Linked DNA regions of Arabidopsis thaliana. The protein of the gene in region 4 binds, or shares a complex with, the protein of the main gene of each other region. Each region holds a gene or a part of one and is shown on either strand. Other genes may lie near its edges. The genes, in order: AT5G45775, STV1, ATL5 and AT2G19730.

Evidence for each region.
Region 1: AT2G19730 (region 4) and AT5G45775 share a complex: the UniProt entries of both Arabidopsis thaliana proteins name them as parts of the large ribosomal subunit.
Region 2: AT2G19730 (region 4) and STV1 share a complex: the UniProt entries of both Arabidopsis thaliana proteins name them as parts of the large ribosomal subunit.
Region 3: AT2G19730 (region 4) and ATL5 share a complex: the UniProt entries of both Arabidopsis thaliana proteins name them as parts of the large ribosomal subunit.

The regions. Positions count from the first base shown.
Region 1 is NC_003076.8:18,564,434-18,568,264, forward strand, and holds AT5G45775 (Ribosomal L5P family protein), read right to left. Parts: upstream 2,150-3,831; 5' UTR 2,064-2,149; coding exon 2,061-2,063; intron 2,038-2,060; exon of another isoform or gene 1,972-2,037; coding exon 1,864-1,971; intron 1,769-1,863; coding exon 1,726-1,768; intron 1,639-1,725; coding exon 1,443-1,638; intron 1,047-1,442; coding exon 848-1,046; 3' UTR 559-847; downstream 1-558. Other genes in the region: RLP55 (receptor like protein 55), read left to right, coding at 1-412; AT5G45780 (Leucine-rich repeat protein kinase family protein), read right to left, coding at 2,513-2,806, 2,895-3,286, 3,368-3,706, 3,797-3,831. UniProt on the Arabidopsis thaliana protein: Component of the ribosome, a large ribonucleoprotein complex responsible for the synthesis of proteins in the cell.
Region 2 is NC_003074.8:19,659,926-19,663,529, forward strand, and holds STV1 (Ribosomal protein L24e family protein), read right to left. Parts: upstream 2,101-3,604; 5' UTR 1,988-2,100; coding exon 1,977-1,987; intron 1,599-1,976; coding exon 1,523-1,598; intron 1,426-1,522; coding exon 1,324-1,425; intron 1,220-1,323; coding exon 1,071-1,219; intron 978-1,070; coding exon 824-977; 3' UTR 563-823; downstream 1-562. Other genes in the region: SRPK4 (ser/arg-rich protein kinase 4), read left to right, coding at 2,487-2,681, 2,792-3,604. UniProt on the Arabidopsis thaliana protein: Might have an extraribosomal function in reinitiation of translation of ETTIN and MONOPTEROS genes that are involved in the auxin-mediated gynoecium patterning.
Region 3 is NC_003074.8:9,268,715-9,273,361, forward strand, and holds ATL5 (ribosomal protein L5), read right to left. Parts: upstream 2,752-4,647; 5' UTR 2,614-2,751; coding exon 2,611-2,613; exon of another isoform or gene 2,461-2,610; coding exon of another isoform or gene 2,458-2,460; intron 2,238-2,457; coding exon 2,168-2,237; intron 2,076-2,167; coding exon 1,857-2,075; intron 1,762-1,856; coding exon 1,682-1,761; intron 1,597-1,681; coding exon 1,480-1,596; intron 1,364-1,479; coding exon 1,059-1,363; intron 971-1,058; coding exon 859-970; 3' UTR 563-858; downstream 1-562. Other genes in the region: GLYR1 (glyoxylate reductase 1), read right to left, coding at 3,235-3,318, 3,425-3,595, 3,666-3,744, 3,834-3,949, 4,076-4,177, 4,262-4,363, 4,443-4,553. UniProt on the Arabidopsis thaliana protein: Component of the ribosome, a large ribonucleoprotein complex responsible for the synthesis of proteins in the cell.
Region 4 is NC_003071.7:8,509,774-8,513,840, reverse strand, and holds AT2G19730 (Ribosomal L28e protein family), read right to left. Parts: upstream 2,356-4,067; 5' UTR 2,281-2,355; exon of another isoform or gene 2,250-2,280; intron 2,103-2,249; exon of another isoform or gene 2,099-2,102; 5' UTR 2,090-2,098; coding exon 1,942-2,089; intron 1,472-1,941; coding exon 1,308-1,471; intron 966-1,307; coding exon 846-965; 3' UTR 550-845; downstream 1-549. Other genes in the region: AT2G19740 (Ribosomal protein L31e family protein), read right to left, coding at 185-264; rps15ab (ribosomal protein S15A B), read left to right, coding at 2,583-2,712, 3,288-3,448, 3,520-3,618; AT2G19710 (Regulator of Vps4 activity in the MVB pathway protein), read right to left, coding at 4,024-4,067. UniProt on the Arabidopsis thaliana protein: Component of the large ribosomal subunit. Essential in leaf polarity establishment, probably having a role for translation in leaf dorsoventral patterning to specify leaf adaxial identity.

The DNA.
Region 1 (3,831 bases), on a different chromosome or scaffold from region 4:
GAACCTCAAACACTTGAATCTCGCTGATAACTCCTTCCATGGAGTTTTACCATTCAACGAAAGCTTCATCAAAAATCTCAACTTTTTCGAAATTGGAAGGAACAGTGAGCTCTGTTATAACAAAACTGTTCTCTCCTCGAACTTGAAATTGGAGGGTCTTGCTCCGTGTGATAAATACGGTTTTCCTTTATGGTCTCCGTCGCAAAAGGAGGAATCTTTGTCAGGAGAAAACGATTACGACGTTGAAGGAGGCAATGAGGAGAAGACGGAGAATCTGAAGACGAAGGAAGAAGAAGAAGAAGAACACAAAGGTTCCAACAAGACTCTGTTTGGTCTCGGCATTGGTCTTTTCTCGCTTGTGTTCTTAATCCTCTTCCTCTTTTATCTCGCTAAAAGGTGTCGTTTGATTTGAGAAGTCTGGGACGTAGTAATTTTGTATTGGTTGTGTATTCACCCTTCTCTCCTTCTAAATGTTTTATTTTATTTTCTCCTGTTTTAGTATTTATGAATTGTGGTTATGAGTGTATTTATGAATTGTGGTTATGAGTATCTTTAGTTTTATTTATACAAATTTGTTCAAAACATAGGGTTAGTTTAGGGACTGTGTAGTCCAGAGACATATTCATCTATAAGGACAATGAAATCAAAGGAGCTGCTTTTGATTGATTTTAGTTTTGATGATGACATTGAATAAAATAAGAAACATATCTCCAAGGTTCTTGGAAGATTTAGATTCTACCAAACTGATGTCAAAAGATTTACTACAACAAGAAATTCTTTAACATCCAAAGATAACAACTTAAAATAAGCTAGAATCAACAAAAATCTTTAAAGATCAAAACACTTTTTAACCAGTGATGTTCTGAGACTTGTTGAGGATAACTCCTTCATACTTGACCTGGAACCATTTCATTGCATCATCCTTGGTTACTCTGTGTTGAATACCAACACGAGTCTTGCATCTACGGCGGCGAGCCACACGATATCCTGGGCGTTCAAGGACAACGTAAAAGTCCATTCCGTAGATACCAGTGGAAGGATCGTACCTATATACACAAAATAAAACACATGAGAACAGTAAACATTTCAAATAAACCAGTTAATCAGTTTCGAATCTAACACCCTTGAAAAACAGTAAAGCATTCATCTTTTACTAGACCCAAATCTAGCATTCAACCAAAAACTAGTAAAGGGCTCATTTTTAATCCAATCCATACTTAAAATTCCACAAAAACTATAACACTCAGCGAAAACCAAAGTAGTCTGCATTCTGACTAAACCTCACAAAACCCCTAATTTAGAGACTTGACATTTAGATGCAACTGAAATTCTTTTAAACATATACAGATACATGAAGAATCCAAGTACCAAAACCATTATACAAAGCCATTAATGTAACTAATTCAAGGAAACTTTCATCGCAAAAGAAACAGAAAACTTACTTGATTCCAAGATCAATGTGCTCTTGGATACCAAATCCAAAGCAACCAGTGTCACTGAAGTTCCTCCTAAGAAGCTCATACTCCTTAACTTTCAAACCACTCTCAAGAAGCTGCATTGCCTTCTCACCTCTCACAGTCACATAACACGCAATCTTCTCATTACGCCTGATACCAAAAGACCTCACAGTGTACCTCGCTGTATAACAAAAACCACAACATACATCAGAATCAAGATCAACACAAAATCAAACTTAAATCCCTGAAAGATTTCAAATTCACATACCCTTAGAGAAGACAGGGGTTTGTCCACTGAGCTGCTCCAACACCTATACGAAATAACCAAAAACAATAATTCAAATCTAAATCACTAAATCAATGATGGATAATCGTAAAGGTCAGATTTTTACAAACAAAATCGAACCTTGGAGGCACGAGTGAGACGATCACCACTCTCACCAACGGAAATGTTGAGAACAAGTTTCTGAACCTTAATGTCCCTCATGGGGTTCGAGAGCTTCTTCTCCGACGCCTGAGAAACAAAACAAAGCCGAAAAATAAACCCATTGAACTAAACACATTTTCATTGAATCGATCTACAGAGACGAACGAAACAAATACCATTTTAAGGAGATCAATGTCGAGCTAAGAGACGAAGCAGTGTAGAGTTTGCAAAGCCCAAAACTGCGTCGAGTGCAAAGTGAGAGAACTTATATGGGTCGGTACTTAGGGTTTCTTGAATTAACGCAATGACGAAATTACCCCTTTGATTTATTAAAATGGTTTAATGGGCCAATATTATAAAGCCCATAAGAAAAGCATAATCTTAAGCATATATTTGGCCTTCTTAGTTACATAAGGCAAATAGTCTTTCATTCGCCGAATCACTTTATTATGTATGAGTTTTAAAATTAACGATAGATAATTTTTTATGAGACTGTGGAAACGCAAATCTTCATTTATTTTTGGAAGAACAGAATAAATAAGAGTTATTGAGAAAACAAATTTTTACAGTTAATGCCATGACAATGACAACAAAATCAAGAAGACTAGTTAAGACACTATGAAGTCTATCATCGTGGTCCAGAGAGCTCAATGGCTTCAATAATAAAGGACTGCTCTTCATGACCATTACTGTAGTTCCTAGAGACACTTGGAGCTCTAGCTTCATACCCTCCTTCACACTGTTCCACTAAACCTTCTAGTACCTTCAACACTTGAGACATCCTCGGTCTTAGATTCGGATGTGGCTGTGTACAAAGCAAAGCCAATTCCACTACTTCCTCCAACACCAAATCATCAAACTCTCCCTTCAAATCTCTGTCCACCATCTCTGCAAATCTCTTCTCTGCTTTCAATGTCCTTACCTACAAAAACCAATGGTTTAGATTTAAGTTTTGTCCTTATGGGTTCAGTCTAAGTTGAGTAAATGACTCATAGAATTTTTTTACTTACCCAGCTCAATATCATTCCTTTTCGAACTTGACCATTGCCTTGATCAATCATCTTATGACCTGTTATGAGTTCAAGGATTAGTACTCCGAATCCGAAAACATCGGTTTTCTCTGAGGACTGTCCAGTGGAAAGGTACTCGGGAGCGATGTGTCCAATGGTTCCTCGGACTGCGGTAGTGACATGTGAATCTCTCTGGTCTAAAAGCTTTGCTAGACCAAAATCGCCAACTATTGCTTCAAAGCTCTCATCAAGTAGAATATTTGCAGCTTTGACGTCTCTGTGAATAATCTTTGGATTGCATTGCTCGTGCAAGTAAACAAGTCCTCGAGCTGCGCCGAGTGCAATGCTTATCCTCCGATTCCAATCTAGAGACGGCTTTTCTCCATAATTGTCTGAAACATGTAATCTTATAAGGAACTTTTCGCGTTATATATCGAAAGAATAACAAAACAAGAAATGTGTTAATTGAAAACCTCTCAGACGATCAGCTACGCTTCCATTTGGCATGTACGGATACACAAGCATTCTCTCTTCCGGGGTCATACAGAATCCAAAGAGGCGTAAAAGGTTACGGTGAACAGCTAAGCCAATCATCTCTACTTCGGTTTGAAACTGAACTTCTCCTGTATAAATCGGATCTTTCAATCTTTTAACTGCCACCACAGTTCCATTTGGGAGATACCCTTTATAAACCATCCCAAACCCTCCTTGTCCCAAAATGTTCTTTGGACTAAAATTGCTTGTTGCGGTTTGTATTTCGCGAAAACTGAACCTTTTCAGATGGCCGATTTCAAATTCGTAGTCTTGCTGCACTAAGAAATCCATAAAAAGTAATGCAGATTTTAGCAAAGTCTTGACATATATTGTATATGACAGACAGAGAGAGACTATTAGATATGTACCGTGTGATCTTGAGAGACGTGATCGATGCCAAAGC
Region 2 (3,604 bases), on a different chromosome or scaffold from region 4:
ACAGATTATATGGATTTCATACTTATACACAAACTATAAACATTCCCAAAGTTTTAGTAAAAATTAGCACCCATTATCCAAAATTTTAAAAACTTAGCTTAGTTTTATTATACAATACAATAGAATCGAACAAAAGGGACAACAGTTTTCTATCATATCTCGAATGTATCGAAATGTACTTAAGCGAGTATGGCTTTTTGGGGGACAAGGATCATGCATGAACGAAATATTTCTCCAACCACATATGTTATGTTTTGGCCCCGTGAAAATTTTCCACAAGTAAATTTATTGCTAAAGTTATTGACCAACAACATAAATCTTGTTGAAATGAATTAACTGAACAGTGTGAAAAAATCAACCAATATTCATGGTGTTCCTTACAATGCAATTTCAGTTCTGATGCAATCCGTAACAATTGAAGTTGTCACATGTTCACAACAATCCTTAAATCGATTTTAGCAAAAGAGCATAAGATACATAACCAAGGTTGCTGTTAGCTCAGTAGTTGCAATTAGAATCGGCTATTGAACACAACCGGGTGATATGAGATTGCGTAGCAAGATAGTAAACAATGTTTTAAAAAGAGTTATTATAGGAACACAAACTCTTCTGATTTTAATGATAGGAGGACAAGAGAGAGCAGTGAAATAAAGTTCATAAGCAGCAAAATTCTCAAGTCTGATATTATAAGAGTAGCAAAAGTGAGAGACAAAAACGAAATAACAAGGTTTATGTTTTGCAAATATTCAGAAATGAACATCAACTACTAAAAGTAGCTACTAGCAGAAAAGACGCAGAGTGAGAAAAGATGGCTTTAAGCTCTTCAGCGTTTGCCACCACCACCTCCCACCTTAGGACCCTTGGATGCAGCAGCAGCTTTGGGGAAATTAGCCTTGACCTTCTGTTGCTTAGAAGCAAATTCCACCTTCTTAGCCTTCTTTTCATCTTTGGTCTTTTTGATTCTTTCCTTGATCTCACTGTTTGTTGAATCATCATCACAATACATTTATTAAGTCAAATATAACTATTTTAATCCTAGTTGGATGATTTGACAGAGGGAGAAAACTAACCGCAGAGCAGCTTCCCTGGCTGCATCACGAACTTCAGGCTTCTCAGCTCTCTTCTTCTGAATTACTTCCAAGGTAGCACCAACAATGGACCTTGAGTATGGCTTCTTGGTGGCACGTCTCCTTCTCTTCACAGCCTCTTGTGCTGCATCCTATAAAAGAAACAGAGTTTTAGAATGTTAACAAATCAGGATCAATGAAAAAAAACAAAGTACAAACAACAAAACAGATCCAAATTACTGAGTTTTTTTTTTACCTTCTTGTGTTGCTTTCTGTACATGGCAGTCCATGCAAGCTTGGATGGCTTCAACTTGTTATGGAAGTACCTCTTACATTTTGAGTTAAGAAACAAGAAAACCTGAAAACAATACAAACCATTAAAAGACTAAAACCAAAACATTTGCAAAGTATAAACAAATCAATTTGATTAGCTGAAGATTCATAAAAGAACCAACCTGAGAATCAGATCGGATAAACCTAATTCCTCTTCCTGGGTAAATCTTCTGTCCACTGAAACGACAAAGCTCCGTCCTGTATTTCATAGATAATAAACAAATGAGACATTGCAACTAGAAATGACAACCAAATGATCTTTGACACTGAAAAATCTCAGTCTACATGATAGAAATGAATCATCCATATACCAAATACAGACTAATCACAGATATTAACGAAGTATCATACTTTTATTACTTAGAACCAGATCCAGCTACACAGAGACCATGAAATTACCCAGCTTAGCTAACGGTAAAGCAAAACATATCATAAATTCCGATTGAAACAAGAGTCAATTTCAGTGAATCGATCCTTCCGATAGTGTGAAATCATGAATCATTATCACTAGGCGATGTTAATAGATTCAACACAGGAACAGATACAGAGAGAGAGAGAGAGGTGAGATTTGATTACTTGAGAACCATGGTAGTAGCTGCTCCTCTTCTTCTTCGTCTTCTTCCTCCTGCTCAGGCTGCTCCCGGAAACACTAGACTAGAAAACCCTAATTCTCTCGATACTTATATATAAGAGACTTCACATTTCACCCAATGCCATTTTCGTCTATATATATTATTCTGGCCCACACTTTAAGCCCACTAAATAGGCCCATCACAAATAGGCCCATAATTTTATTAGCCCATATATTTTTGTAGTGATGACGTCAGCTCTCCTCCAATAATTTTTTGATTTTTTCCCATAGCCGACGACGGTAGAGGAAACTTGTCAATGGACCTAAAAAACGGTGACGTTTCGTAAAAGGTAGATGAAAGTTTGAACAAGTAGCTAAGCTCTCTCTCTGCACAAGCTTCCAGAAAAAATCAAATCAAAAGAGAGAGAGATCCACAAAATTGGATTGAATCGTCGCCGGATATTCCAAGAGTAGAGAGCTTAGTTTGTCTCGCGTTGCGTCTAGATTTACTGAATATGGAGGCGGAGAAGTGGAACAGCGACGGTGGTGAATACACGTCGGAGGACGAAGGTACAGAAGATTACCGACGCGGCGGTTACCACGCCGTTCGGATCGGTGACTCATTCAAAACCGGCCGGTACGTTGTCCAGAGCAAACTCGGTTGGGGCCATTTCTCTACTGTTTGGCTCTCCTGGGATACTCAATCCTCTGTACGCATCTATCTCTCTCTCTCGCCACACGAATTGCTTGAAATGCTTTAGAGATTAATTTTTCGTTGCTTTGTTTGTGTGATTTTCTTACTCGTATATCGAATGTACAGAGATATGTGGCTTTGAAGGTGCAAAAGAGTGCTCAGCATTATACTGAAGCAGCCATGGATGAGATAACAATATTGCAACAGATTGCAGAGGGAGACACTGATGATACCAAATGTGTTGTGAAGCTTTTGGATCATTTCAAACACTCAGGTCCGAATGGTCAGCATGTATGTATGGTTTTTGAGTATTTGGGAGATAATCTGTTAACGTTGATTAAGTATTCTGATTACCGTGGCTTACCTATTCCTATGGTTAAGGAGATTTGTTATCATATGTTGGTTGGTTTAGACTACTTGCATAAACAGCTTTCGATTATACATACTGATTTGAAGCCTGAGAATGTTTTGTTACCGTCAACTATTGATCCGTCTAAAGATCCGAGGAAGTCTGGAGCTCCTCTTGTTCTCCCCACTGATAAGGATAATACAGTTGTTGACTCCAATGGTGATTTTGTCAAGAATCAAAAAACAGGAAGTCATAGAAAGGCAAAGCTTTCGGCTCAGGGACATGCAGAGAATAAGGGCAATACGGAATCTGATAAAGTTCGTGGAGTGGGATCACCGGTTAATGGAAAACAATGTGCTGCAGAAAAATCGGTTGAAGAAGATTGTCCTTCTACTTCTGACGCAATTGAATTAGATGGTAGCGAGAAAGGAAAGCAGGGTGGTAAGAAAGGGAGTCGATCAAGTCGAAGGCACCTTGTGGCATCTGCTGACCTCAAGTGTAAACTTGTTGACTTTGGTAATGCGTGTTGGACATACAAACAGTTCACAAGCGACATTCAAACGAGACAGTATAGGTGTCCAGAAGTAATC
Region 3 (4,647 bases), on a different chromosome or scaffold from region 4:
TCTTGTTGGAATTTGAATTTTTTTAAAAGGGTTAAGAAGCCTATTGCAGCTGCAAGAGTACCAAGGAAAAAAGAAGAATTCATTAGTAAGGTGAAAAAAGGATCTAAGACTAAGCATACATGGTAGAGGAAGGATTAACAAAGAGACGTTGTGTATATTGAATACAGATCGTTGACTCTGTTGGTAGAGAAAGAGAAGCTTCATGGCTGTTACCTTTCACCATAAAAATTTATGGAAAATTTTGCTAAGGACAAATCGTGGTCCCTTTCATGTAGGGCTCCACCATTCATGTAATTTACTTGGAATCCAAATAATACACATCATATTCTCGATTATATACTAAAGAAGTCACGAGAGAAATTAAATTACGTATTAGTCAGCTTCCAGGATAGTTCATACTTCATACTACAGAGCAGATAAGTCATTCCTACTTTGCATAAGACAGTTCCAGTACCCGATAAGGCTACATATAATAATAGCTCCAAGAGAATACTGAGTTATTTCCTTAAACAGTGATTTAGCTCTAAACTTGTAGTAATGTGATCTAGTTCATCTTGTAGCAATGTTTTCTAGTTCATATAGATGAAGTCTAACAGTTCTTACATTTAACAATAGCAAACTACAGATAAAATCAAGTCATCAAACTATTGTCATACAAATTCTTGAAAATTATGATGAAGGTAATAATAAGATAATGATACTTCAAAGAAAATGTATCCTCAATATCAAAATCCTCGAACACAATTAAAATGTGAACACAAAAGCTGAGTGTTTTAGTCTGAAAACAGAAAATTTGAGGCATTAAGCTCAAAAGATAAAAAACTACAAGAGGCATGAGATAAAGAAGGCTTGACTGATTTACTCTTCATCGTCCTCATCATCATCATCACCACCTGCTCCATTCAATGCCTTGACTCTCTCGATCAACTTGTTCTTCCTCTCCTCGTAAGTAAGTTTCTTCAAGTTGTACCTGTTTTGTTAAATGGAAGACCAAATGAGACACCAATACACCAACAAGACAAGAATATAGATAGACTAGATTGATTCTGTTTCCCTACCTCTTGTGTTGCTTGGGAGCAGGTTTCACGGTTTTCTTTGGGTTGGGGTCAGCACGAATAGCTGCGTGAACCTTCTTGTACAACTCCTCAATGCTCTCAGCTTCAACTCCTTTCTTGATGTAAGCACTGAAGTGAGTTTGTAACTTCTCTGGCTCATCTTCTCCCAACAGCTTCATGTAGTTTGAGACATGGCCACCATAGATGTAGTTCCTGTGGATTTCAGCATCAAGTTGCTTGTTCTCCTTGTGGAACCCAGCAAATCTCTTGTCACTGTGAGGGATATCAAGACCACCATCCAAAGCACCCTACAGATTCAAACAGCGAACCAAAAGGATATTAAAGAATTGCCAGTATAAGCATTTGCTCAAGAAGAATGACAAATAAGAGCACTCACAACAAAAAAAGAGAAACAAGTTAATACCTTAAGAGCACCGAACACACGGTTTCCTGTTGTGGTCCTGATAAGTCCAACATCAAGAAGAGCACGGAAAGGTCTCCTTGAATCAGTTGGCTCAACGGAAAAGTCTTCTCCAGTGGCCTGATTCATTGTGTGACTTGAGTTTCTAACAAGAGACAATAACAATGCTTCTTATTATCAAGATGAAACCAATCACACAACATACCTCAACGTTTCCCTCATACTCGTCATCCATTTCCAACATCTTTAAAACACGGCGAGCCAAAAGAAGGCCAGTACAGTAAGCTAGTTCAACAAAAAAAAATTACACATAAGTAAGCCATAAAGACAGAATCAACCATATTAAATTGGAAAACAATACCAGATGACACATTCAATACCTGCAGCATAGTTTGTAAGACCAACAGTGAGACCATACTGAGGCAGTTCATGTGCGTAAGCAGAAGCTTTAACAATGTCACCAGCAATGCTTGCAGATACAATCTGTGCCACTATGTCTTTGTTGGTAAACCGGACAACAAAACGATACTTAGGAGTATTGTACTTGTTCTTGTCTTGGTTGATAAGACGGATCCTTGCCCTGTAGTCAGTCTTTCCATCTACACAAAAATAAAATAATTTTCAGAAACAGATTGAAACAAAGAGAGAACAAACAATATCATCAGAATAAAACGAATCAACAATCTATTACCTCTTCTTCTCCTGAACTTCACTTGGTACCTCTTGAAGTAAGCATTCGACTTGGTGGACTTCACAAACACCTACCAACAACAAATCATCTTATTTTATTAGTCTAAGATCCAACAATATAAAGGTTCTTCGATGGTAACAAAGATCTACGGTAAGAACTCCATTGAATACGTATCAGTGACCTCTAAAACAGAACAAAAGCAAAGTCTCAAACTTTTCCTATTTCAATTCTCAAGCAAGTTATAAAACCAAAAACCCATGAAGAAAAACATCTACGAAGGTGGATAGAACCATAGGATCACGAATTCTCGTTACGATATCTAATCAAAAGCAATGCAGGAGATTTCTATATGAAATGAAGATCAAAACCCGATTTTCTTAAGAGAAGATTAAGAAGAAACGATTGAGAAATGAGAAGAGATAGAGATTAAAGCTAGGGTTTACCATTGTTTGATTCCTCTAGCAACGAGAGGCTTTGCTGTGAGATTGTGAGTGAAGAGAAGCAAGAGGCGGAATGACCTAAATGCGACATCTTATAAGACAAAACCCTAGAAAACTCCTCGTGGGCTGAAAAATGTTAATGGGCTTTACTAGTTATATTATTAATGGGCCTATGGGCTTTTACATTCACACTCCAACGAAATCCAATTTTCTACTGAAATGGTCTCCTCCTCTCCTCGTTTGTCTATAATCCATAGGAACATTTCTCTTGACCATCTTGATGCAATGTTATTTCTTTGATCTTCTCATCTACGGGTTCTTTTTTGCTTCCTTTGTTTCATATAACCTTAACAGTGACCAACTTCAAATAAACTTTGCTCTATTTTATTGGTTCTGTTTCAATCAATTTGATCTACCTCTGGACCAATATCGAGTGAACTAGCCATAAAGTAGTTGAAACGTAAGGTTGCAACTCTATGAACGTTTCTGGATATGTGGTTAAGACTTTTTATTTGGTGAAGGAGTAAAATGTGTGTTTGGCCAAATGAGTAAATCTCTATTTGGGAAGATAACAATGATTTCAGTATCTCAGCCAATCCAAATGAGTGGATGTTTTGAAACAGTTTGCTATTCGCGGGAGAATTTCACAGCTTCAATCACAGCAGAGAAGTCGAGATCTCCTAGTCCCAAGCTTCTCGCCTTCTTAAAAGCCTGTCGAGAACCGAAACATATATTTTAAGATTCAAGCTAAGAAACCAATCTAGAGGAGGGAGAGCCAATATGTTATTGTCTCTGAGTAACTAACTAACTAACTGACCTCGTTTGCAGCCGCGGCTACAGGCATGGAAACCGCGTTTTCATCGCCAAGAGCAAGAGCTAGCCTCATGTCTTTCTGCTGATGTTTCAATGGAAATGCTGGTGGGTAACTACTCTTGTTCATTGAAGGTCCTTTCCCCTTGAACATCGGGTTAGTCATTGCTCCCAGATCCTGCCCATAGCAGAAACCGATTCAAACCAACACCATTATTTCAGAGCTTGCAAAAGTTTGATCACCTCACCAGAATATCCAAAAGAGTGTCAGAGCTAAGTCCACTCTTGTCAGCCAATACAAGCCCCTCAGAGAATGCATTCATCATGCTGTATCAGACGAAAAACAATAAGATCATGAAGCCATGTTCCATTCCTACTACTAATGGTAGTAATTGTAAAAGAGACGGGACATTCACCTTCCCATTATCATGTTCACTATTAGCTTCATTTTAGCTCCGTTTCCAACTTGTCCCAAGTAAAACGATCTCTTCCCCAAGACATCAAAAGCTGGGATTGATTCCTCAAAGAGTGCCTTACAAAAAAGGATTAAAACACAAACGGATTATAGCCGCACATCGAGAGCTCCTTCCTACTAAGTCCAACTAAAACAGTTCTTGAGATCTATCAATCAATCCATAAGTACAGTTTTGAGTTGTACCTTGTCACCAGCAGCAAGGATAATGAGTTGGCCATCTTCAGCTGGCTTTTTGCTACCTGAAACCGGACCTTCTACGAACCGACCACCCTTCCCGGTGATTGCCTACCAATGCGCAACACAGCTCAATCAAACTAATCAACCTTCTTCTAATCTTATCATCAGCATCTAAAGTACAAAAGATTCAACCTCATTGATCTTCAAAGAAGTCTCTGCATCAACAGTCGACATATCGATATAACCTTTTCCTTCACATATCTGCTCCAAAACACCGCCTTTATCGAAAACAACCTAATCAAACAACTACTTCATATCATTCATCACCAATGCTAAAACACACACAAAAGAAGCAAAAAAGGATTTCAAATACCGAAAGAGCAGCACAAGGATCAGAGAGCATAGCAATAGTGTATTTGCATTTCTTGATTACTTCAGCTGGACTCTCACATACTGATGCACCATGCTCCACAAGCTCATCACACTGTCACAATCATCAAAAATTCCCAAAATTGCATTAAATTACTCAAAAAGTTTCCGACTTTATCAGATCTGAACAACTAAAACTAAATCAGAAA
Region 4 (4,067 bases):
AATCAAAATTTTCAACAAAGATTCAAATATTCTAACTCTTTTCATTCATCAAGAAACCTAATTCGAATCAATACAAGTTGCAATTTTAGTCTAATCATTAGACTCTATGCCCAGAACGAACTTAAGCAAAACGGAAACGAGATATTGCAAATAAGGTCAAAAGTATTGAAGCTTTAGGTTTTACCAGCTATGGAGGCGCCTGTGGAGATTGATAGTGTACTCCCTGGTCACGACCTCTTCCTTTCTTCCCTTTCCTTTCTCCATTTTGCTTCGATCTCCCTGGTCTTCGAAATGGTGTTGGAGACGGCCACAGCAAGAGAACAGAATTAATTCATGTCTAAGAAACCCTAATATAAACCTTTCCGTATGCTATAAGTTGGGCCGTCTATGGGCCTGATGGGCTTTTGGATAAGTATAGAGCATGCTAAGATGGAATTCTCAAGTTGGTTTTTGATGGGATCTAATGAAAATGTCAACATTATAGTCCACAAGAACATCACATTTGATGCAACAAATCTAAACATTTATGTTTGCTATTTTGAGTCAATTTAGGCTTTCAAAAGTCATAATATATAAGGACTTGGTTGTTGATTACATTTGATTTGCTAATAAAATCTAGAATAGAGATTTTAAGAAAGTTCTTGATTCGATAAAAGGATCTAACAAAATGTAACACAAGCACACCAGAAACATCAAGCATAACAAGATAAACTTCTAACTCCTTTATAATAAGGATAATGAAAAAGGAGAATAGCATTATGGTTCAACTTCAAAGCAACAACTTAAATAAAACCTGTTCAACAAAATCTTTTACTTCAAAAAAAACAGATTGTGAAAGAAGAAGCTTAAGCTTGTCTGTTTCTTTGCTTGGCACCGGACTTGGCAACCCTGAGACCTTTGCTGATGGCGCTGAGTCTAGCAAGTGCAGCTTTCTTCAAGTCCGGCCTGTAGTAGTTGTCCACCACCTAAACATTTACACAATCATTTGGTTTAGATTGTATTCACGTATGAAACCAATAAACAGCAACATTAAGCAGATCAATGAAAATAGCCAAGTGTAAAATTAATATTTCATCAATATGCCACAAAAAGGAGCCTTATATGAAGTTAAATTTTAATCTTTGCACAGCTATGCATCATATCGTTTTACCATAACATATTAACTCTCCTCTCACAGGTAGAGGGAAGAACATAAAAACCAATTGTAGATCATAGCCGTGAAAATAACACACAAAACTAGATATAGAGACCTATAAGCACACCATAGACATATAAAAAACACTAAAGTAATAAAAATTGAGTAATACCTGGTTAGCAACAGCCTTTGACATCCTGGGGAATTCCTTCTTGAGGATAGACTTGTTGACAGAGAGCTTAGGCTTGTTCTGCTTCTTGGTCTTGGTGGTGGCGAGCACAACAGCTTGGTCCTTGTCAGCGGCCTGGATGGTCACAGTCTTTTTGTTTGCAAGACCTGAAACCACATCAAAAGATTCAAACTTTAGCCTAATTCAAGACAATAACAAAACCTAATACATAGTATGAAGTGTCTGCTCAACTCAGACTACCATTTTTGTCTTTAAATTAGAAGATACATACACAATTGTAATACAGATTCAAATGGTCAAATGTAAAGAAACTACATTTCACGGTCAACTTGCAACAGATAAGAAAATAAGCTTATACTCGAGAATCAATAAAATAGTGCATAAAGACGATCTCAAACAGCCAAGTTTCAACCACAATCATCTAATAGTCGAGAATCCACAATCTTTCATAGAACCAAAAGCACTTAACACATCAACATTTCTTAACAACTTTAGTTCCCAATCTATTCTACTAAATCAACCAACCAGAGATGTAAAGTAATCATTTGTTCTCAAATGGCCAAGATATCATTTCGTTCAGAAACAAAGAATCTCGTAAACAAGAGTACAAATTTACCAGAGTGCTTGTAAGAGTGAACGTTGGTGAGGTTGTTAGTCTCCTTGCTGAATTGAACCTTAGAGTTTCCTCTACCGAACTGCTTCACCAAGAAACAGTTGTTGTTCTTCACGATCTCCCAGATCAATTGTCCTGGAACTGTCGCCATTTCAAATACCTACCTTCACCACACCAAAAATGATACTACCAATCAACAACACATACATTAACAGATCGATTCCTAAAGGCTACTACTATAGAGCTCGCTGAATCAAAATATCTACACAAAATCAGATCATCTAAGCTACGAAAATCAAGACATACTGAACTGAGAACAATTGAGAGTAATACTAAGCTCACCGTGAAATTTCGCAGATAGAGATCGAGAGATTTTAATGGTGGCGCCGGAGCTTTGTTAGAAGACGAATGGAGCTATTTATATATGACCTCTGAAAAAAATAAAACCCTAGCTCATGTAAGTGAACGTGAAAAGTCTAAAATACCCCTAATGTTTTTCGAAATGTCGAAATACCCACAATTCTGAGAAACGTTGGAATAAACCCATTTCCTGCTGCTCTGTTGAACTTTAGGGGTTATCGATTCTTTTTGATTCGTTGTCATTCGATTATAGAATTTGTATTAGAAATCGGAATTTTCGATCAATGGGGAGGAGAATATTGAACGATGCATTGAGAACGATCGTGAATGCTGAGAAGCGAGGGAAAGCTTCGGTGGAGTTGAAACCTGTCTCTACCGTAATGTCTTCGTTTCTCAAAATCATGAAAGAGAAAGGTGAGATTTTTCACTTCTTCTTTCTTCTGGTCTAATTGGGTCTTAATTCATTTCCCTAATTTTTCATCTACTTGTTTAGATTTATCAGTTTCGTCGACATTGGTTTTAGTCACTTTTGCTTGTAGTGAAGTATGATTAATGATCCATAGTCTCTATTGTTTTGTTGGTCCTTGAGCTGATCCTAACACGTATAGCTCAAGAATTTCCATGTGTGATCACTCGATGTAAGAGATTGGTTACAACATGGTCCCAATGATTAAGCTTTGTTCTTGGTTAACTATGAAGTTGCAGAAGATTGAAAAGTTTCTGTTTTTTGATTCTTATGGATAAGTTACATCTTGATCTATGGTTGGAGAAAGTCATATCTGCTCCTGTTTAGTTTATGGTCTAACTTAAGTTTGTTTCGATCTTCGTCTGTGTTTTGTATGTTTTTAGTTAGGAATTTGAAGTAGTTCTTTTCAAAGTTGATAGTTTGTGACTGAAGTATAAAGATACCATTTCTATGCTCAAACCGCAGAATCAGCTAGTTTTTTGTCTATTACTTTACAAAATGTATGTTGATGTATTATGTATAGGGTACATCAAGAACTTCCAAGTCCATGATCCACACAGAGTTGGAAGAATAACTGTTGATCTACAAGGAAGGGTTAATGATTGCAAAGCTCTCACTTATAGGCAGGACGTTAAGGCAAATGAGATCGGGCAATACACAGAACGCACACTTCCAACGCGCCAGGTTCGGTTCTACACTAGTTCTGAATATGCAACTAATCGTAACTTAAACCTTCTTTAATTTGTTATATGCAGTGGGGTTATATAGTGATTACAACTCCCGATGGCATTTTGGATCATGAAGAAGCTATTAAACGGAATGTGGGTGGTCAGGTTCTTGGTTTCTTTCATTGAACTGCAATACGGAAAGAAACTCTGATGGAGGGACTTTGATATGTCAAACCCTGCCATAACATGTCATTTGTCTGGCTTTTTCGACATTGTTTGTTTGTTTGTTTGTTTTCTTGCACTGCAGTTTCAGCAAGATGGAGAATTAGAGAACAAAATTTATTTCTATTATGACAACATTTCGAATGGTATTATAAAATCTTTCTCTTCGCAAATAGTTATTTTCTATTCTGTTTATCCACACAAAAAAAAAAAAGACAAGGAAAACCAATCAAGACCAAGCAGAATCACACCACTACTTCAATCTGTATAACGTGTAAGAATATCAAATTCAGTCAGAGTAAAGAATGAGGGGAACTGTTTTCCGTGTGAAAGAATATATATATGAACAGAAGGACAAGATGAGCAGATTCAGCGTCGACTGGGAGCACGAAGCGCTCCGAGCCTTGCAAAGA